Drosophila melanogaster: one gene and its partner. The protein of the gene in region 1 purifies or fractionates together with the protein of each later gene. This does not show direct contact. Each region holds a gene or a part of one and is shown in the gene's direction. Other genes may lie near its edges.

Region 1 (4,528 bases):
ACCCTGATCTGAAGAACTAAGCAATCCGCCCACGACGGAAGACGTATAATAGTTGTACATAACCAGGGAGAATAGGAACAGTGTCATTACCAAAAAGCGCACTGAACGATCTACAGGATTTGGGTCCAATCCCTGTTGGCAGCAGGCTCCAAATGTCTGTAAAATTCGTTCAATGCATGTGGTCTTAATGCAAATCACCGAACTTTTCTGATTTAAATGTTCCAGCTTTTGACTATTAACTCGTATACGCAATATCTTGTAGTCGATAATTTCAAATAGCACCCAAATGATGCTAAAAGCACCAAGGGTTAATAGACAGAACAACCAAACTCTGTCGCTGAATGGCGACAGAAAGTTACCACTTTTTCCATGAGTATCCAAATCGGAAGTGTAGCGGTATAGAAAAGCTGTCTCAAATTTCCAACTTTGGTGTATGGTATCAAACTCAGCAAAGCGATTAATTCGATTGAAGGCACCGGATGCGGCTATATCTGCCTCATTTCGCATAACTATTCCCAAGAGTCCAAGTCGAAAGGTAGTATTGCCCAAACGTCCAGCCCATCCTCTAGAATTTCGGAAGTTAACAGTGAAATTGAAACGTTCTCTCAGAAGTCCCAGAAGCTCGTAGTGATACTTTATGAATGCAGCCACTCCAGCATCCTTAGTTGGTCGCGAAAGTATTGATTCAATTTGTTCATTTGAGATTATATCCTCCTTGTCGATCTAGTATCCATAATTGAAATGGCTAAAATCTAATGAGTTATAGTACTTATTCATTACTTACAACACTTGCTCCTCTTAGAGTTAATCCATTAAATTGTCCGCGAAAATCAATACTTTGCAAATGGAAAATATCGCGAGCTATATTCAATGTATCGTTTATCAATGTTGCTATTAAATTTATTTCCAAATTCGACTTCAAGTGTCGTCCTTTCGAATGAATATCCCAGTACGCATAACCATCTGCGGTTTCATTAACATAGGTTATCTGGGCGTTGGGACCAACATAGTTGAGATTTAAAGGAAATAGGGATTGAACCTCGAGATCAACACCCCAGAGAAACCACTGATAGGTTTTGTTGAAATACCTATTTTCAGAGGCTTCAAAAAGAAGTTCAGATGATCCACTGCATCTGGCATTTACCATCACAGAAGTTCGAGCGTAATTTTCCCGAGTCAATATCGATGTTAGTGAATAACTTTGGTTAAGGTTAACTACGCTCACAAATTGATTAATTCGCATCAATGCAAGAGAGATTTCTTTAAAATCTATCAATAAATATATTATGAATACCTTTATTGTAACTTAGCACATTGCTTACCTTTAAATAAACACGAAAACACTATTGCTTGCTTGGTTTTTACTAGACTTTTAACGAAATTAGTTACAACGGATTCTTCCATACTCGGAATTATTTCACCCTCGCCTGCAGCTAGTATTAAAATAAACATACTGATTAAGAGATTCATTTTACTATTGTTTATCCTGCTGGGAATGTTGTGCCATTTTATAGTAAGGTCTTCTGTTTGATTGACAGCATGAATTGCAGGTGCTAATTACCCATTCTAATTTCAATTGGTTCATAATTTACTATGCAGCTTCTATACCCTCTAATCAGAAATAATTTAATTGATTTAAAGTGTAGCTTTGATTGACAGGTAAAATTGGATCATAAATTTTTAATGAGAAAGTAAACTTCTCCCAACACTTATGGCAAAACTAAACCAGTTAGTAGTAATTTAAACAAAATTCAAGTGGGTAATAACATATGTAAATATTTCTTTAATAAACAACCGAATTATTGAAAATCTTTACCAAAACGGGTAACCTAATTGCAGTAAATTTTAAAACGCCAAAATAACATGTTTAGTTTCTTATTTTATTAAGGCTAATATCAAAAATCATAGCTAGAGTTTTTTTCTTTTTAATTTAATTTATGCAAATAATCCATTTCTGTTAATTAAAAACAAAAAAACAGTACGATTAATATCGATTGTGAGCATCGAATATCAAAATAACTCATATCGAAGACGTAGCATTTCTAGTTTGTTTATGTTTTTGTACAAAATTTATGAGTATGCAATATGTCGTCTACGTTTAGATATAATCTATTAAGGAGTGTAAAGCCATACACTTCATTCACTCCGCAATTGACTAAGTCTATGTTGCGTGTCCTTATTCAAGTGTCTGTGCACTACATTGAATCAAAGAAGTCTTCGTCGGAAGTGCTTTCCCTGGCACTAAATAAACTAACAAATGGAGGTCACGAAATCCCTCCGAACTTTTGTGAACTTTTTACAATGGTTTTCTTGACAATGCAAATCTTTTTAAGATATCCCAAGGGCGTGGTGAAGCATCATGAGCTGCGAAAATGTTTAATGGACGATTTAAAGTAAGTATTCAAATGCATACGTACTTGGAAAACTTGACCGTCACTAACATAATTGTTATTTATCTCGTCAATAGTTTAACAGAAGAATATGTTGAAGATATCTGCAAAGTTTTGCTTAACCATCGAGACGTACTGAGCAAGAACTTTTCAGATACTAAAATGGACCGTGTCAAAATGTCAAAGTTGCAATGGAGAATCAACATTTCCTTATCATTAAAGTAAGTATTTAACCTTACCGCTATTTTATTTTTACTTCACTTTACTAATTTATTTTCTAGTACCGTGCAAATTGATAAACCTACAATAGTCCTCCACTTCAAGCTCCAAAATAAGGAATATCGAACTTTAGAATTGCCACTGTCCATGTTTCAACAAGTGCGCTATAATATTGCTCTCTTACTAAATGAATTGCAGTCATTGCAAAGCCGGTTGGCTTTAAAATAAGTTACATGTTTTTTTTATCCATTTGGTGAAGTATTTAATCCGACTGTCCCGCCGACTGTCCTTTTTGCCATACTCAATCTAGCGCCTTAAAGCCGCCAAGGCGGTCACGCCCACACTTTCAAAACAATTTTAAAATCTTTTCTCCCTATTATTATCCCAGAAAAAGGATGAAATTTACACTAGCTGAGTAACGGGTATCTGACAGTCGGGGAAGTCTACTATAGCATTCTCTCTTGGTTACCATTTAAAATTATGTTATAAGAAATCAAAAAAAAACAGAACACGCTATCTTTATAAGCATGTGTTTCATATTCATTTCGTTCCAACAAAGTGATTGACATCTCTTCCGATTTCATGTTATCGCTGTATTAATCGATTACTTCACGAAAATGGTAAGCAATATTATTTTATGGTAAATAAAGAGAAAAATGATTAATTTTCATGTGTTTTAGCTGCCACTTTCACTTTTAAAAACAGCACAGAGCCATCCCATGGTAAGATGTTTGGATTTGCACACATTAGTCATACACATAATTGTTTAATCTAATTCACTTAGTTGGTGGAGCTGAAAAATGGTGAAACATACAATGGTCACCTGGTTAGTTGCGACTCGTGGATGAATATTAATCTGCGCGATGTTATTTGCACCTCAAAGGTAATATTTTAATTAAATATGTATGTATATGTAATTAATATGTAGATTGCCGGTGTGCAAAATATGCGACAACTGGTATATACATAAATACAATCGCATTGATTTGTAAACAGCCGGAAAAATGATAACATGAAGAGCTTGTTTATACCAATATGTGTATGTGTACTTTGCAGGATGGCGATCGGTTTTGGCGCATGCCCGAATGTTATATCCGCGGGAGCACCATCAAATATCTGCGAATCCCCGACGAAGTAATCGACATGGTCAAGGAGGACGCGCAGGCCAAGTCAAGGAATCGCACAGAGATGAACAAAAACCGCGGCGGCAACTCGTCGCAAAATCAGCGCGGCGGACGTCCTGGTGGCGGCAACCGCAACAATGTCGGCAATCGTCCCGGCCAGGGATACGGAGGTGCTGCTAACAACGCGATGCGCCTGGGTGGCGCTGCTGGCCAAGGGAACCGTCTGCCCCACGCCGCCAAAAATAGGAAATAGTTCTTCGGATCGTAGTAATAAATTCTTTTCAACCATTTCAAGTCACGTATTTATTATTAAAAAGTTGACATTTTTACACAGTCTCGATAATTTCACATCACGAGGTTTTCTTTGCTACTTATTGCCATGGTAATCTGTCTTTTATCCAGCGAGCAATTGGAATGAGTTGGTTTCAAGTTTGAAAAATCACTGGGGGCTTCACTATTGCCAAGCAGACTACACCCTGAACGGGGTTTATTGGATACTATAATTGGATTCATGCGGACACGTCCGGCGCGGGGAGACGGCATCCAAGTGTTTCGCTTGCTGCACAAATGCTTTTAGTAGGCTGAATTTCACTGGACCGTCTGTTTGTTTGTATCATGTAGTTTCATTATATTCGAATTTTATTTTGCCTATATTTACTTTAAGAAATATTTAATAAAGAGTACAGGTAAACAAATGTATTATTTATATGTATTGTAGCTAAACGAATTGACGGCTTTTTAAAAACTCAAGCATGCCCTGAACATTGGCATTGACCTGTGGCGGCTGCGTTTGTT
Region 2 (2,925 bases), on another chromosome or scaffold:
GCTGGTGTGATAAACTGGCCCGTAGGGCTTACCATCAGAGGACCTGCCTCTGATTCCACCACTATGGTAAACTCTTTCAGCGTTTTCGGCCATTCCGGCGGATATTTTTGTTTGCCCAGGTAATCGCTGAGCGAAGTGGTGACCTTCATGAGGTAGCTTGCATAGCCACTTGCCTGTTGTTTGGGCATAAACTTGCGACGACCTATCTGGATGTTCAGTAGAACCTGAGACAGTGTTCGTTCATACACGGGCACCACCTTTAAATAGGCATCGTGGTGCGGAATGTTCTTGATGAAGTCAATCCATGTGCTGAGAACATCACCAGTAAAAAGCATCACATGGCCTTCTAAACTGATGCCCGTAAAGGGAGCAAAAACCACTATGCGACCTTTCAGGGAAGCCATTTCCAACAAATGGGTGTTGGATAGTCGCTCAAGGGTCTTTAAACAGCCACGGTAGTGCTCAATGTTCCAGCCGCACTCGTAACGAGCATCTTGCAACTCCAGTTTCTCTACCAGCATTTTTTTCAGTTTGTCGATTTCGGCCTGCAGATCCGCAGTTTCCTTAGAGCGCTGTTTGGCTGTGCCAGCATTCTCTTCCAGCCAGGTGGTCAGCACTGGACGCTTACTGGCACGTTCCTGGGTTAAGGAAATAAGTATATAAATGGTTTTTTAAATTTCAAAATTATATACCAACATTCTTCAACTGAGTTTCAAACTCGGCGAACTCCATGTCATAGTGATAGTCATGGCTTGGTTTAAAATCCAAGCCAGAGGTTTTTGGCGGCTCAGGCTGGGCCTTAATGTTCTTCACATACTCCGTGGACAAGTTGCATGACTCCAGAAGACCTTGAATAAAGGTTTTGGGATCTCGGGTACTCTGCCAGTCCGTGCGTATTTGGATGAGCTTGAAGGAGTCTCGCTTGTCAGCATCTGAACTGGTGCGTACATAGAACTTGAGCACTTGGGTGTCCCCGCTTCGCTGTCTGCGTTCATACAAAGCCTCTAGATGCTCACTCAGCAATTTCAGTGAGTTCTCGTTGGTGTTCCTCTGCTCCGGATGCTGGGCAAAGAAGTCAGGATGCACCGCGAAGTAGAAGGGTCTCAGCGCCGTTGTCAGATCTGCAAAAGCGCCCAATCACATGATCATCCAAAAGTTGTGGCGCATTCAAATCAACTGACCTTGGTTCAGCGATCGGCGCAAAAGCAGGAAGTGCCGTCTGCTGGTGACCAATTTCCGGATCTTGGAGCCCAACGACATGGACATTATGTAAGCAGTGGGCGGCAGCACAACACTGCACCGCGTCACAGATGGCCAACATACGGGAGCACTGCCGCGAGATTAAGATTTTGGATATATAACTCCTGATCTTGAATTATGAGGTAAAATTGGTAGGACCGCGGCACTGAATGCCAAATATCCATTACTATCTGGGTAATAGTGGTGGCTGTTTGGGTGGGTGTTTTGAGGTCCCTCATGTTGACAAATTGTTCTTTAAATTCTTGCGATAAAATAGTTAATCTTGATAAGTTTGTCATAAAAAAGTTTTAATGAGTTTGTAATTAATAAATTAATTAGTTTTCAACGAAAACAAATGTTTTAATTAATTTTAAACGTTTAGCTATATTCACGCTAACTCTATCCACAAGATTTTGCAGCACTGACGCTGACACTTTTGATGTGGCCAGTTTTTGCGCAGAATTCCGCATTGTTTACCTCGCTGCTAAAAAGTTTTTAGCGCAATTCCAATTATTATTGTTAATAATAGTAAACAAATCATACGACAACATGACTGCCGTTCCACCCCCCTCCAACATCTCTACCCTAATGCCATTGGGTACGTAAATCTGCTACAGGTCTACAAATCGAGAGTTTCTAACTTTTGCCGGCTTCCCGTACTACCCTACAGAATTGGTGGACAAATGCATCGGTTCCCGCATCCACATTATCATGAAGAACGACAAGGAGATGGTGGGAACTCTCTTAGGATTCGATGACTTTGTGAATATGCTCTTGGACGACGTAACGGAGTATGAAAATACCCCCGACGGCCGCCGCATCACCAAACTGGATCAGATTCTGCTCAACGGGAACAATATCACAATGGTGGGTGCTCTTTTTCGAAGTTACATACGTTTGTTTATTAAATTTCATTTATAATTTGATTTCAGTTGGTGCCTGGCGGAGAGCTGGCGGAGTAGCAAGGTTCCATTTGTAAACATAAATACATTTGTAAAATATCAAAACGGTCGTTTTAATGTGGATAATATTGTGTCGTATGTAAATGTTCGAGGTATGTTAGAAGTTAGCAGTGGTCAAGTGATTAACAGCAATGTTAACAGATTTTTGGTCCTAACAGATACGAATTTGAAAACGCTTGGCTTAGGAAATGAAAATTATTTGCCCTCTAATCTCAGAATAAAACACTATATAATATTACCTAATATACAAAACATTGTTAAATTATCAATTGGAATAGAATTAATTTTACATAAATAAGCATATTTTATGCTTATAGGGACCGGATACACTTGAAATGGAATACCGAAAAAGGTCGACCGCTAATAATTCTGTAAAATGACTTCCAAGCTTCAAAAATTCAAACTTCACATTAAATATTTAGTGTCTTTCCGTTAACATTCAACCGCTACTTGTGCTCTGGCTGCCATGCAAAGTAGGCGCATGCGCTCCATCCCCAAAATGTTGGGTCTCAGCGATACAGCAGTCAACATGTGCCATAAATATTAACCGCTTTTCCCTTCTGGCCGTGCGTGTGGGTGCAGTGCACTCTCCGCAGTACCGCTCTGCTCTGCGTGCGTTCTCCCGCTTCCGTTCGGCACCTCCAGCGTTCAGTACGGCAGCAGGCTTCGACGGAAGTGGAACAAACCAAGCGGAAACAGACTCACGCGACAACAAAACCGAACC

The links.
Region 2: the proteins of CG17768 (region 1) and CG6610 purify together in Drosophila melanogaster (affinity purification with mass spectrometry, with the first as the bait; one large-scale study listed by BioGRID). This does not show direct contact.

The regions. Positions count from the first base shown.
Region 1 is NT_033779.5:10,402,694-10,407,221, reverse strand, and holds CG17768 (uncharacterized protein), read left to right. Parts: upstream 1-2,018; 5' UTR 2,019-2,085; coding exon of another isoform or gene 2,086-2,393; intron 2,394-2,467; coding exon of another isoform or gene 2,468-2,611; intron 2,612-2,671; coding exon of another isoform or gene 2,672-2,837; 5' UTR 2,838-3,226; coding exon 3,227-3,229; intron 3,230-3,289; coding exon 3,290-3,331; intron 3,332-3,393; coding exon 3,394-3,492; intron 3,493-3,665; coding exon 3,666-3,986; 3' UTR 3,987-4,025; downstream 4,026-4,528. Other genes in the region: Ir31a (ionotropic receptor 31a), read right to left, coding at 1-723, 785-1,269, 1,323-1,470; LSm-4 (uncharacterized protein), read left to right, coding at 2,086-2,393, 2,468-2,611, 2,672-2,837; Cnot4 (CCR4-NOT transcription complex subunit 4), read right to left, coding at 4,452-4,528.
Region 2 is NT_037436.4:6,073,852-6,076,776, forward strand, and holds CG6610 (uncharacterized protein), read left to right. Parts: upstream 1-1,684; 5' UTR 1,685-1,788; coding exon 1,789-1,837; intron 1,838-1,909; coding exon 1,910-2,106; intron 2,107-2,171; coding exon 2,172-2,201; 3' UTR 2,202-2,407; downstream 2,408-2,925. Other genes in the region: CG13295 (uncharacterized protein), read right to left, coding at 1-638, 697-1,121, 1,182-1,266.